2 linked regions of the Struthio camelus genome follow. The protein of the gene in region 2 purifies or fractionates together with the protein of the main gene of each other region. This does not show direct contact. Links are inferred from orthologs where the notes say so. Each region holds a gene or a part of one and is shown on either strand. Other genes may lie near its edges.

What was found. Proteins that work in one complex are often made in the same cells at the same time.
Region 1: the proteins of PCNA (region 2) and DCLRE1A purify together in Homo sapiens (affinity purification with western blotting; 3 studies listed by BioGRID and IntAct, with this or other methods). This does not show direct contact. The link is inferred for Struthio camelus from reciprocal best matches to the Homo sapiens genes PCNA and DCLRE1A.

Annotation. Positions count from the first base shown.
Region 1 is NC_090948.1:10,463,427-10,470,708, forward strand, and holds the start of DCLRE1A (DNA cross-link repair 1A protein), read left to right. Parts: upstream 1-4,273; 5' UTR 4,274-4,891; coding exon 4,892-5,315; intron 5,316-7,170; coding exon 7,171-7,282. Other genes in the region: NHLRC2 (NHL repeat-containing protein 2), read right to left, coding at 1,300-1,452, 3,701-3,866. UniProt on the Homo sapiens protein: May be required for DNA interstrand cross-link repair. Also required for checkpoint mediated cell cycle arrest in early prophase in response to mitotic spindle poisons.
Region 2 is NC_090968.1:2,625,550-2,632,907, reverse strand, and holds the start of PCNA (proliferating cell nuclear antigen), read left to right. Parts: upstream 1-4,124; 5' UTR 4,125-4,478; coding exon 4,479-4,699; intron 4,700-5,549; coding exon 5,550-5,647; intron 5,648-5,913; coding exon 5,914-5,981; intron 5,982-6,058; coding exon 6,059-6,253; intron 6,254-6,587; coding exon 6,588-6,711; intron 6,712-6,825; coding exon 6,826-6,908; 3' UTR 6,909-7,358. Other genes in the region: CDS2 (phosphatidate cytidylyltransferase 2), read right to left, coding at 3,757-3,825. UniProt on the Homo sapiens protein: Auxiliary protein of DNA polymerase delta and epsilon, is involved in the control of eukaryotic DNA replication by increasing the polymerase's processibility during elongation of the leading strand.

The sequences.
Region 1 (7,282 bases), on a different chromosome or scaffold from region 2:
AGAGATGAAAGATATGCGAGACATATGGGTATTACAGAATACAGTAACACTATAGTACAAAATGTTTATCATTTAAGACATTATTCATTGTATAATTGGTGTAATCTTTTGAAATCTCAATTTAGACCTTCTTCCTAGCATATCTGATGTTCAGAGTAGCCCAAATTTATAACTCAGCTACCTCCCCACTTAAAACAGCTTCCCTCCCCACAAAAATGCTAGACAGTTTTTTTCATTAGATGAATAAAGTTCCTTATATCTGAAACCATCACAGCAGATCTCAAATTAATCTGAAGCAAAAAGCTAAGTTTTTCAGTGCAGAAAAATCAGTCTAGTTAAGTGTTCTGTAAAGCACTGTGCAAATTTACAACATACAGTGGAATTTCTTACAGAAAAATGTAATTTCTTTTTCCAGTGAAAGCAGGCAATACATGAAAATAAATGCTGGCAAAATGAAAATCAATCAGAAAGGCTAACGGAGAATCAAAATCTTATTAAGCATTATAAAGTAATGTTATTTTACTATTATATTTAATACAAATATTTGAGGACTGAAAGTGATATTGTTTTACATCTCAGCGTTAAAACTTAAAATATCCTTGGTAAGTTAGTGGCTGCTGCAACACTGCGTAAGAATAAAGCTTACCTCTGCCTCTTGTCATCATGATGACAAGAGATTAAATTCTAAATAGTAACTGTCCTGCATTTTTATTCAATCAGAGAGAGATGGAGATTTTTTCACAGACCTGCATTTAATGTGCTTTAATCTCTCTCCAGAGCAAAGAGAACCACTCATGGAAAATAAGGTGATGCTGCAGGAAATACCAAAACAATCCCACGTCAAGTTTACATGTTTTGATTTTTCAGTTAGAACAGGGTCGGGGGGAAGGTAATCTTATCTACATCCGTTCTACCGCTTGTTCTATGTCCTACTCAAGAGTTGGTTCCTAAGTCAAATCCAGAGGGTTACATACAAATGTTAATTTCGAGCCCCTATCTTACATCCTTGTGCAGCATTTTTCAAATAGCTGTATTTATGAGAAGATCAGGTTTGGGCTTTAAGTACACCTCCCGTTTCTTTAATTACACAGACGCAATAGCTACCATATCTAACCCCATTTGAAAGTGTGATGGGATTACAAACAGTCACCTTTACTAGGTTACGTAAAAGATTAGAAGACACTTTTAGGCACCCCTGAAATTTTGCCAGCTTTTAGTAATGAGCAACAAAATGACTCAGCTACTCCACCTGCAACACTGCCAGGAAATTCTGTTCTAAGCAAGCCAAAGCACTTTTACCTTTATCAGAGTACTGGTGCTCTAAGGCATGGAGATCAGGCAGTAAGTGCAAACAATTGATGCAGCAGTAAGTAAAAAAATCCAACACCACCACTTTTCCACAAAGGTCTTTGTGAAGAGAAATAGGACTTTCAGTGTTTAGCCACTGTAAATCTGGAATTCAGAGAAAAGAGGTATCCAAATTAGGGAGGAGGGGTAGGCAAAGGCATTCCTTTATACTTAACTTCCACAAAAACAGACAACATTCCTAGTACAGTTCACTTCAAAAATGTTCTGTATCACTTTCTGTCCGGATAGGAAGGCAAACCAAAAGTCTTACATTTATCAAACTCACCTTTATGCTCCACATTTTTCATAATTAGCAAATAAAATGTATTAATTATTAAGTAATATTAAGAAAAATTATTAAGTTAACAGGATTTCATGTAATATTGAAAGTGCAGATTATATATTTAAATAGGTGCCTTTTAACGGAAAGCACATGCAGGCCTTAGAACAATTTTCATCTATTGTAAAGCATGATCTAGATTATCCAACCCCTAAGAAGATCATATGGGTAATACTTATTTATTTTGAATTCAACAAGTACATGCTTGTAAGCAGATAAAAACCTGCTAAACTCTTAGAGTTTACATTTTTGTAAAGAAGTAATATCGGAGACTACTGAAATATTTCTGTATTTATCGTTTTGATATTGAGTTTGAGAAGTTTGAAACGATAGGTATAAATTAATGACGTTATATGCTGATTTCCAAGAACTAAAACTCTTTCAGATATACCTGAAATACTATACTACTTCTGCTCATTTATTTTCAAACACTCGATAAGAGACATTAAGGCAGTGTTTTCTCATTTTATGCACGTACACACAAAGAGGCAACTAATAATCCTCTGATCCCATAGGAAACTGATATCAAGGTAGGAAATAAAAAACCTACAATATGTTTGGCCCTTATTATCACCGAACATTTCTTAAAATAATGGGAAAAATACAAATTTTTAAAGGACTACTTTTAAAAAAATGTACACGCGTGCTTTGATAACCTAAAAATATCCAAAAATTCCACAGTTTCAGCAAACTATGTTTTTATTTCCCACATCCCCAGAACAAGTTACTGCTACTCAAGTCAGCAGGAGGATTGTTTTCTGCTTCACTAAGAGAAGGGCTACTCACTACTTACACACATATAAACATAAATGGATGAACACACAGTCATTGTTTTGGCGACAATAATAAGACTTAGTAAACCCTTAGTAAAACCCTGCCTGTACACTGAGGAAATCATGCATAAACTTCATAAATGTTTCCTTTTTAAAAGAGTATGTTATTTATTTATTTAATGGTACTGCTCCCTTTTTCACTAAAGCATCTTATATCAAAATATGCTGTAAATGAAAAATGTTTACTATTTATTTGAGCTGCTTTTCAGAAGAGAACATTAGCTTTGAAAGACTATAAAAGGTGAAATGACACTAATCACAAAAGTGAAAGTTCAATTCAGGAATCCAAATGCAGAGAGAAAGAGTATTCACTTTACTTGATGGGTTAGAAATCAGAATTCAGTCCCATGATACGTATGTGATTTTAACCCTGACATTTATCTTTTTAGGTCTTCATCTTGCAAACTCCTTTCATGAGCTCTCATAGTTCCAGAGTGTCTCATGAGGTGACCAGGACTCCGAGCAGGACTTACAAGATCTTACAAGACTTAACCCTTGATTCATGCTGAGTGTAAAAAGAGATATAGAAATGTGTGAAATGTGCGAAAGGGAAATGGACACACCACTGAATGAGCATGAAACCTCCTGCATAGTTTGTATTTTCAGAAACATGAAAATTGACAAGTGCAGGTAAGTCACGGGGAGAGAGCTGGGAAACAAGGGGCTGCAGTGAAACCAACAGAGCTCAAGAGGAAGCTGACAGAACGAGTAAGGCGAGACCACTGACTGGCCGAGGGCAGATATCCATATATTGCAGAGAAATGTTTTATTAAGAACAGTTAAATACTGAAGCTACGTATCAGAAGTTTAGGAGAGAAATTTTAAAGAATATATTTTTACAAACACTAACAAAGCGTTTACAGAGGAATTCTTTGCACTTGTCTTTTCCTGATGATACTTTCTGGAGTCATATTTCTCGCAGCTAAGACGAATACTTTCTTTTTCGGAAAAAAAAAAAAAAAGACAGTTAGCGAGGCCTTAAACTAACGGGGCTGTAATTACACACCCCCTCGGGCAGCAGGGCTTCAAGGAAGACACCACACCCCGGAGGGCGGGAGCCAGGGCTCGGCCCCGCGGGAGGGGGGCCCAGCTGCCGCCGCCCGCGGCCCCGAGCAGCTCCGCTCCGCTCCGCTCCCTTGGGGGGGAGGCCGGCCTGACCCGCTCGGGCCCCGCCACCCACCTCTGCCGAGCTCGGGCAACGCTAGGTCCCGCTCCCGGCTGTCCATCTTCTTCAGGTACTGGTAGACCAAGTTCTCCTTCTCCTGGGGGGTGTCGGCGTCCAGCAAGGCGTACTCCAGCTGGGTCTGGGCGGGCAGGAGCGCCGCCAGGCCCCCCGCCGCCGCCATGGCGCCTCCTGGGCCAGCCCGGCCGCGCCGGGGCAGGGCCGCTGTTTACTGGCCTGCCTTTTCCCCTTCCCATATTCGACAGCTCCCGCGGGCGACACGAGAAAAACGAAGGCGCAATTGAAAAAAAAAATCCCCTAAGTACAAACACGAAAAAAATCGTGTGTTTTAAAGAGAGGCCGCTTCTAATTAAATTTGTGTTTTTTCATAGCTCTGATATTCTCGGTAGCATATTCGTGAAGAAAATCCCTAGTGGTGATTTCAGCTCAGCAGATTCAGCACAGCCTTTTTTCCCGCCTAGTGACTTATTTATTTTTAAGTGGAATAAACCTGAAAACTGGGGGGGCTAGGGACACAGTCCCAGCACGGCTCCTTTAATTAAACGGAGTTTTCCTTTTTTCTTTTGGAAGCTACGGAAGACCCGGAAAGTTGAGAGGCGGCCGCAAGTGACGAAGCTGCGGCGGCGAATGCAGCGGCGGCGGCGGGGTCTGCGAGGCGCGGGGCCCGGCAGCAGCGGCGGCGGCGGCGGCACCTCCCGGCCGCGCTGCGCCCGTGTCGGCCTTCGGCGTGTGGTGCCTCCTGGCAGCGGCTCCGGAGCTGAAATCTGGGTTGTTTTCTTTCAAAAACCTCCTCGCCTCGGGCCAGCGAGGTGGCAGCCGGGGCGCGGGCGCAGCTGGGCTTTTCACTTAGCGAGGCCGGGTTAGGTGCTTGCAAGTGGAATAACTGAAGGAAATGGCGCGCTCTGCAAGTACTTCTGCATCTTACAGCCTCGGGTTTCGTTTAGCCGCTGTGGTTACGACTATTCAGAGAGACACTCCTTAAATTATTTTTAGGGTAGGAGCCACCATGCTTCTATCTCCCCAGGGGCTGCTGTTTGGTTTGTGGCCCGGTCTTTTTTTTTTTAAATGGAGTTCAAGTGCTTTTCTTCAGCTAGTGGAGGGGGGGGGAGAGAGAAAACTTATTAACAGAAGGAAAACTAGACTAGTGAACTGCTGCTTAAGAGCAAGGAAAATATTTCGTGTGTTGCCATGTCTGAAGATGCTTTATTGGAAGAGGACATTTGGGAGTACAAATCCATTAGGAAACAAAAGTTGGTGCATCAGGTTAATTCGGAGAGCATCTCTACACCCGTGCAGAAAATAAGTAATGACAAGTGCAAGCCAAAAAGAAAGGGAAATGGAAATAAAAGAAAATCAGTGGAAAAAAGTGATACTGTTAAGAAAAGCAAGCAGAAATCAAGACCAGATCAGGATCTAGATCAAAGTAGAGACGATACTATCGTGCAGTCCCAGGAAAGTGTTAGTAGCCCGACAGAGCAAAGCTCAGAAAATGCAAAGCTGGTTCGTGATGGATACTGTCCAAGCTGTCAGATGCCTTTCTCTTTACTGTTAGTCCAGACACCTCGGTGGCATGTTGCTGAATGTTTGGATACTCCAGGATCTATGGAAAAAGGTATGAGTAGCGTAAGAAAAAGAGTCTTTAAAAAAAAGATGTTAAAGACACGTGACATAATGTTACTGTAAACTCTGGTTTTCATATTTAGTTCAAAATCTGAGATGACAGTTGGTATGACTTTTAGAATGTTGTTACTGATAATTTATCAACATTGTATTCATATCAGAATTTGGATTCTTTATAAAGAACATTGAACTGATACAAAAATAATAATCTAATAATGTTATCTCAAAACTTTGTGTAGTATTGATAAAGATTCATGGTTGTTCTTCAAACTCCCCTTTCATGGGCTGTAATTAAGAAATAGAAGGCATTCAGCGTAGTGCGTATTTACCTTTTAAAAAAAATGGACCTGGTCTACTTTTTTTGAGGAGAAACGTCTTTACAGGGAGGGTGACTGAGCACTGGAAGAGTTTGCCCAGAGAGGTTGTGGAATCTCCTTCTCTGGAGATATTCAAAAGCTGTCTGGACACAGTCCTGGGTAATGTGTGCTAGCTACCTTGCTTGAGCAGGGGGGGTTGAACTAGATGATCTCCAGAGGTGCCTTCCAACCTCAACCATTCTGTGATTCTGTGGCCTGTTTCAGTTATTCAGTCAAGATTCAGAAGAAGCCTCCTTTGGTTAAGAGACTGCTACTTTGGACACAGAACTTATTTCTCCTTATTTGTGAATTCTGTTATTGCATACCTACATTGCTGTGTGATTTGTCCAGTTGCCTATGGACAGTTGCAAGCTGAAATCAGTCTGTTGGGCTAACGTACTTGAAACGTTAGCCCTTGGTTCAGTATATTTTAGAAGTTTTGTGCAGAAGTATACGTGAACATTCCTATGTTTGTGCCCGTGATACTTGTCTGCCACGTGAAGGCATGACCATAGAATGTTACACGTTTTTTGAGCTCACAGGAGAAATAAACACTGAACTGTTCCGATTGCTAGTTTTATGTTAGGCAATGCCATGTATTTACACGTATCTGGACAGGTCCAGGTATCCAACTTACGTTGTTAATACACCTCATACCTTTTGAAAAACAGCATACAGTCAAAAAACTTGAAGTAAAGGCTGCTGTTTTAATTAATACGATCCTTTTCATATCTATCTGACTTTTCCTGAGGCTTCGCCTTCAGAACAATGAAATGTGAGTTCTTAATCCTGAGTTTGCTGGTGGCCTTGACTTAAGGCAGATGTTAACATCTCATTTTCATCTCCTACTCCCGTATGAAAGCGGGAGTGAAAAATCTGTCTGATTGATTTCTTCTGGGCATTCACCTTTAAATTCTCAAAAATTAAGCCAGCAAACTATCAACAAAAAAGTCTTAAGGAACAACATTGAACTGTTCTTGGCATCTGAATCCTGAATGCTTTTTGTACAGAAGTAATTACTTTTTAAATCTTATTTTATGTATTTAATGTGTAACCCAACAGACAACTTTGAAATGGAATTGCAAGTTGATTCAGAACGTAGATTTGGTTTATTTTGACATTTGCAGTGCTACTGCTCTGAGCTCATTGCTTGCACATGAGGTTGCTCTCAACTAGAGGCTGTATAACTATGCTAGCACACTGGAACAAGCTAACATACCCTTCTTGTTAGATGGGTGTGTTAGTTCACACTTAGTGTTTTGTTTACACAGACAACACTGTTGGAAGCAGTCTTACTTCTAGCCACCTTAGGGCAGGAGCTCTTAGCTTATTGCAAATTATTTTGTAGATGTGCCTTCTATCCTCTAATGACTGCATGTATAAGAAAAAGTTTTAAATGAAACGTCGTATATAATTTTTATTTTAATATCTATGCCAAGTGAATATCTTTGCAACGGTATTAACAGTGCTTCTCTGCTTAACTTTTCACAGAGTGTCCTGATGGCTTGCTGTGCACTTCCACCATTCCATCCCACTACAAGCGCTATACCCATTTTCTACTTGCAGCAAGCAGGGCAGGAGATTATCTTGTAAACTCTTCAAT
Region 2 (7,358 bases):
GGCTGGCCTCATCCTCTTGACACTCCCCCTTCAGATACTGGTACACGTTGATGAGATCCCCTCTCAGTCTTCTCTTCTCCAGGCTGAACAGGCCCAGCTCTCGCAGTCTTTCTTCCTAGGAGAGGTGCTCCAGCCCTCTAATCATCTTGGTAGCCCTCCGCTGGACTCTCTCCAGCAGTGCCATGTCTCTCTTGTCCTGGGGAGCCCAGAACTGGACACAGTACTCCAGGTGAGGCCTCACCAGGGCTGAGCAGAGGCACAGGATCACTTCCCTCGACCTGCTGGCAACACTCTGCCTAATGCACCCCAGCATACCATTGGCCTTCTTGGCCACAAGGGCACACTGCTGGCTCATGTTTAACTTGTTGTCCACCAGCACTCCCAGGTCCTTCTCGGCAGAGCTACTTTCCAGCAGGTCAGCCCCCAGCCTGTCCTGGTGCCTGGAGTTATTCCTGCCTAGGTGCAGGACCTTGCACTTGCCTTTGTTGAACTTCAGGAGGTTCCTCTCCACCCAGCTCTCCAGCCTGTCCACGTCCCTCTGAATGGCAGCACAGTCTTCTGCTGTGTCAGCCACTCCTCCCAGTCTAGTATCATCAGCAAACTTGCTGAGGGTGCACTCTGTCCCAGGGTGCATCGCCACAAACGAGCCAGGAAACGGGCAGTTCGGAGGAGGACGCGTGCCATTGGCAGAAGGGAGTAGTGGGCCGCTGTCTGAAGGACATCACAAGCAGTCTGTGCCTCTTGCATTGGCTCCAGGGCAGGCCAGGAGCTGGGGAAGGTAGTAACCGTTGACCGTCGGTTATAACGAGCTCCATTAGAAGTGCAATCAGTCCCGTCTCTCCTTGCCACAATTAACAGTGGCGGATAACGCGGCACGCCTCTCGGCAGCCGCGCATAAAGCTGAGCGTTAAGCAGCGAGGACGACCGAAATCAGACCTGAGATTGCATCCGTGAAGAATAAATGAGGCTCACTCTTCAGCAGAAGCCAAGCAAACTGATGCTCAGGATCAAGTCTAAAATAATTTTAAGAGCTGTAAAAAAGGAGCCTTTGGGGCAGGTCTGAAAGAGGGCTTGTAATTCTGCCTCTCTTAACCATGCACTAGACGGAGAGAGGCATCGCATCCATGCCCCGCTCTCTCTCCCTAGCCAAACAGCAGCCTTAACTGCTCCTTCCTTTTCTTCGGCACGGGCCAGGCAACCCTTCGCACCAGCCCTTGACCCTCCCAAGCAGACCTGAAGCGGTCAGCGCTAGTGCTCAAATACCTGGCGTTTACTTAGCATCTGCTGCAGGTGCGACGAGACGCCGAACGCGGCACCGTGGAAAAAATTCGCCTGCCCGGCCCGTGGCGCGGGGACGCCGCAGAGCGCGGCTGCTGCGTGGAGGACCGCTTCCCTTTGCCCTTGCAGCTGCTGCCTCTCCTGCCGGGGACAGTATTTTCCACCAAGGCACTGAGGGCCAGTGACAAAGAAGGGGGTAAACAAAGCCCCGAGTGACGCCTGCCCGTTGGTGTGATCTCCAGCCCAGATAAGCCTGCCCCTAAATAGACTTGCCCTCCTCCCCTTCCGCAAGGCCAGCCCCTGAGATGTCCCCCACCGATTTCCGAACCAGTGCAACGTTCCAGCAAAAGGCCAGAAAAGGGGGAAAAAACCGCTGCCCTCGCTGTCGAATCACAGGCAGCACAAACCACTACTGAAGAATGACATTAAAATCCCATTAAAACAGCAGAAGCGTTCAGGAGCTCTGCACATACTGTGAAATATATATTTTTGGCACCTTTACTACTCTCTTTGGAAGCTGGAAGAGAAAACGGGATTCACCGGGATGCCTACAACACGAGCGATCGTATCTCTTGTCTCCAGTTTTACATGACGAATGAGCCTATCAAGTAAAACGCAGCGTCTACGAGACGCGAGGGAGAACAGCAGCTGCATGGTAACAAGAAACTAGAGTTTGTTCCAACCATCTAATCTCAGCAGCAGCAGCAGCTAAGAGCATTTAAGTCCTTCGGGCGAAGAGAAAACAGGCACCACGCACAAAAAACAGCAGTTCAAGTTCTCCTCCTGTCTTTTAACCAGAGAGACCTGATGGAGTTCGCTCCTAAAGGAGTAAGAAGATGCTGCCTTATGCCTTTCGGGAAGAAGACTGTGCTGCAGGACAGCTTGACAAAAGTCCATTTTAAAAGGTTCTTGCCCAAGGGTCTCCATTGAATGAGCGCGGTGTCGGCTGTAAACACCGCCTGGTGCCAACGGAGAGGAAACGGTCAAAGCTGTGATATCGTGCAAGGGTTACAGGACCTGAAAGTGAAACCAGCCTCTCTCTTTCCACCGTCAAAACAGAGCAAAGTGGAAACAAGCACAAAGCAACCCAGCTTACGACTTTCCGGGTCCGATCTTAAAAACAGCCTTGAGGCTTACAACTCATTTTCACTTGTTTCCTTTAATACACCAAAAGCTCTTTGCAAAAAGCCACAGCTGTTTCTGCAGAATATAATACCTCTCGCTAAATCGTTCTTCCCGGCGAGGCTAACCGAACGACGCAGCGGCCGTGGGCATCTCCCCGCTCGACAGCGATAACTGCACGGCGCCCCGGACAGGCTAAGACCACCGATAAATAGTATGAGAAGAGCCGTTTTGCGGCCGGTTGGCTTTCTACCGATGTTAGGCTTGATCTCAGGGGAGGAAAGAAAAAAGAGGAGGAGCCCTTTAGAAGGCCCATTATATGTTTAAAAAAAAAAAAAAAAAAAGCACAGCACGGAGATAACAAGATCGCGGTCAAACTAGCGGCCCTCTGACCTGCTTTAGCAACACAGCACGAGCAGCTAAAGCAAGACCGCGGCTTGGCAAACGCAACTATCTAGAGGATAACGGTTTTGCTCTACGCAGCGCCGCGACAAAAAAGAGCGCTCTGACTGCCGCTCCGATCGAGGTCGGCCAAATCCGCCCCGCAGCCAGCCCGCTTCGCGCCAACCACGCACAAGGCAGAAACTTCAGACGGGCACCGAGGCAACCCGCTCGCAACGCCGTCAGCGCTTTCCAGCTCCCGTCCTCTCAGGACGTTAAACCGCGAAAGAGGTTTCTGAAGGATTATCTCACGGCCGGGCGCAGAGCGCGCTCGGCGGAGGAGGGAACGCCACCAACACGACGCTCCCGAGGGCCGGCTAAGGGCAAACGGGGCGGCCAAAAAAACGCGCACGCTAAGGCGCGAACGCAGCGAAGGAGCGCGGTCTCCCTTCCAGGTGTTGCCACGCTTCCTAGGGTTGTTATTTGCCCAGAGAGACTTCTGCTCTCTCCTTGACAGCTCAGTGGCTGCTTCTCCCCGGCCCTTAGGGCGCAGCGAGGGCTGGCGGAGCGGCGGCCGAGCGCGGGGTTCGGAGCGGGAGCATCGCGCCGCGCTGGGGCCGCAAGGAAGGCAGGCGCTCCAGGAAAGCGAGAGCGGGGTTTCCTTCCCGGGGGTTATTCCGAGGAGAAACGCAAGCGTGAAAACGGCCTCGAAGCGTCCGAGGTCTCGGTGCCGCGACGTCTGGCCCGCCGCGGGGTGTATTTTGCCAAGGGTTATATGTTATAACTCGGAAATCCCGCGTCCCCTCGGGGTTCCCCGCCCCAAAAACCCGCCCGGATCTCCGCGCTGGGAAGCATCCGCGGCTCGGCAGCAGGAGGAGGAGGAGGAGGAGGGGGAGGAAGGCTCCGCCGCGCACACGCAGCCCCGCAGCGCTCTCCGCGGCCCAGGCCCCGCCGCCCCTCCCCGCCGTCCCCCACCTTTTCCTCGGGCTCCGGCGGCGGCGCCGCGCCGGGCTGGCGGCCGAGCCGCTGCCGCAGCTCGCTCATGCCGGCGCCGGGCTCCGCTCCGCGCCGCTCCGCGCCCGACTCCCCCCCGCCGCCGCCGCCGCCGCTGCTGCCGCCGCCGCCGCTGCCGCTACCGCCGCTGCTGCCGCCGCTGCGCCCGGCCGCGGCCGCCAGGGGGCGGGCGAGCGCAAGGCGCGCTCAGCCAATCGCCGCCGCGGGACGGCCCGCCCGCCCGAGGGGTGGGTGGGTGTGGCTTCTAGGCCCCGCCCATCACCCTCCCTCCTCCTCGGCTCCGCCCAGGTGTACCCGGATGTGCGCGCCGCTCCGCCGCGCGCCGCCATGATGGGTGGTGCCCGGTGACGGCAGACGGACCCTGGCGCCTCGCGTTCTATGTGCGTGTGTGTGTAACGCGCGCGTTGATTGGCTCTCGCCGGGGCAGCGGGACTAAGGGGAGGAGCGGCGCCGGGATTAGCCGGAGTCGGGGTGGGGGGAAGGGGGCGGGGCAGCGCGTGACGTGAGCGTGGATCGGGCCTCGCTGCAGGGAGCGCGGGTCGCGATTGGCGCCGCCCCGGAGGTGGGCGGGGCGGGGGGGCAGGGTATAAAAGCGGCGTTTGGCGGGCTGCGGCCTTTGGCGGCCGCTTACCTTTTCTGTTTGTGCGTGCGGGCGGGCCTCGTCGGTCGCTGCCGCTGCGAGGATGTTCGAGGCGCGGCTGGTGCAGGGCTCGGTGCTCAAGCGGGTGCTGGAGGCACTCAAGGACCTCATCACCGAGGCCTGCTGGGACCTGGGCTCGGGCGGCATCAGCCTGCAGAGCATGGACTCCTCGCACGTCTCCCTGGTGCAGCTCACGCTGCGCTCCGAGGGCTTCGACACCTACCGCTGCGACCGCAACATCGCCATGGGCGTCAACCTCGCCAGGTAGCGGCGGCCGCGGCCTGTCGGAGACTGGGGACGGGCTCGGCGCTGAGGGGAGCAGCCGTTAGGGCCCGTTGGTGGGGGCGGGGGGGCGGGGGGGCTCGGCGCTGAGGGGAGCAGCCGTTAGGGCCCGTTGGTGGGGGCGGGGGGGCGGGCTCGGCGCTGAGGGGAGCAGCCGTTAGGGCCCGTTGGTGGGGGCGGGGGGGCGGGCTCGGCGCTGAGGGGAGCAGCCGTTAGGGCCCGTTGGTGGGGGCGGGGGGGCGGGCTCGGCGCTGAGGGGAGCAGCCGCCGCCCCTCCCCCATTCTCCACAGAACGCTGGCGCCGTTTTTCGCCGCGCGCGCGGGGCCTGGCGGCGGCGGTGACGTCACTGCCGGCGCGCCGTGGCGGGAAAGCCGGGCGGGGAAGGGGCCTGGCAGGGCCCTGCCCGCCATGGCGTCTCCCCGGGTGGCCCTGCGTCCCCTCCGTCCCAAGAGACAGGGAGGCAGCGGGGGACAAGCCTGAGCTCGGCTCTTGTTAGCCGTCAGGGTGGCTGGAAGCGGGGGGGGGGGGGTCTGGCCTCCCAGGCCGAGGTGCGCAGCAGCATGTGCTGCCTTCCTGGCACTTGGCTGTCATCTAAAGGGTTCACTGCCCTTCTGAACTTGTGGGGTGTGCTGCAGGTGCTAAAGGTGAGGGTTTTGTGCCCGCAGAAGGGAGTAAAGGACTGCATAGAAATCATAATACAGGATTGTGTCAGGTGTTGCACTGGAGGCTAGTGGTTGTTTCTTAGACGACTTTTAACACTATAGAGTAGTGAGCCCATATTTTTGCCCTATCAGGCTGGGACCTTTTACGATCTAGTTTTCGTTCCCCTAGCATGTCAAAAATACTGAAATGTGCTGGAAACGAAGACATAATAACACTCAGAGCAGAAGACAATGCAGACACACTGGCTCTAGTGTTTGAAGCACCAAGTAAGTGTTATGTTTAGTAAATAATTTGCTCCTGTGATGTTTTTAGGTGATCTTCCTAAGTATGTGGTGATCTTCCTGTGTCTGGGTGGTGGGGCCAAGAAGAAATACTTCAGAAGCTGGAAGGCTCTCAAAAATGGGACTAAACAAGATGGATCCCGTTATCCTAACTGAGGTGTTTTTACTCCGGAAAAAATTTTGGGTAGAACTTAAATTGAGGATGATGGCTTTTTTAAACACTTTGTCGGACTAAGCTTTGTTTGTTTTAGATCAGGAAAAAGTGTCTGACTATGAGATGAAGCTAATGGATCTGGATGTGGAGCAACTTGGAATTCCAGTAAGTAGCGACAACTGAAGTGTAGTGACTACATCAAGCTTCTTGGTAGAAGTTTAATTGTGACACTTCCTTTGCAGGAGCAAGAATACAGTTGTGTAGTGAAGATGCCTTCTGCTGAGTTTGCACGCATCTGCAGAGATCTCAGCCACATTGGAGATGCAGTTGTCATCTCTTGTGCCAAAGATGGTGTGAAGTTTTCAGCTAATGGAGAGCTAGGAAATGGGAACATCAAACTGTCACAGACCAGTAATGTGGATAAAGAGGAAGAAGCTGTAAGTTGTGTTGATGGCTAGCTGTTGTTCTCAGGGTTAAGGTTTCTGCTAGTAACTTACTCTCTATGGTAGTGTCATAGGCCACCTACAGGTAGATAAAGATGGGTTGTTTTTCTCCACTTTGTAGAAGCGAGTCAACAAATCACTGCCAACTTTGGCCCCTTAGCCCTGGGGTCTGCCGTGCAGTGCTAAGCAGAACAGAGTGGGGAATAGTGCTGGCTGTTCTCTGCCTTTGCCTGAGGTGTCTAGGTCTGTGACACTGATTTATTTGACAAACTTGGGGGAGCTTGTGGCTTGTGTTAATTGAACTCTAACCTGGCTGATGTTCTCCTAGGTTACAATAGAGATGAATGAGCCTGTCCAATTAACCTTTGCTTTGAGGTATTTGAACTTTTTTACCAAAGCCACTCCACTGTCACCTACAGTCACACTCAGCATGTCTGCAGATGTTCCTCTTGGTAAGTAGAAGCAGCTCTTCTGGGAAGTAACCCTGTAGAGCACTGTCCTCTTAGAACTATGTTAAGAGGGCTTGATTGGCTTTTTCTGAACTATTTTCTGAATATTTTTTCCAGTTGTGGAGTACAAGATTGCTGACATGGGACACTTAAAATACTATCTGGCTCCAAAGATTGAAGATCAACAAGAAGGTTCTTAATTGGGCTGGGAGATCTGCTCAGCTCTTTGGAGAAGACAACTGACTTTGTGAAGGAAATTGTCCGCACAGTTCAGCAGTTTCAGTACATTGGACCGTCAAATGAGCACTGTTAGGCCTGTTTTGTAGATACTTTTGTAAATATTTTTCAGCTTACTGTTTTGCTATACTGGTGTCATTCAAAATAGGAATTTTTGCTCTTCTAGATTATTCCTGTTCCTCCAATAGTCTTTATATGCTGTCTTTAGTTAAAGTCTTCTACTCCTTTTGATTTGTGTTAGAGAAGGAGTGCAATATTTAACTTGAGTAAATATGATGTTGCCTAGTTTTACCTGTGAACTGTAGTTCACTAGGGTTACTGTTTAATGATGCCAGGAGTTCATTCAACCTTTCTTTATATGTTTATTTTTGAAGCGGTATTCTAACTGAAATGTGGAAAATGGAAATAAACAT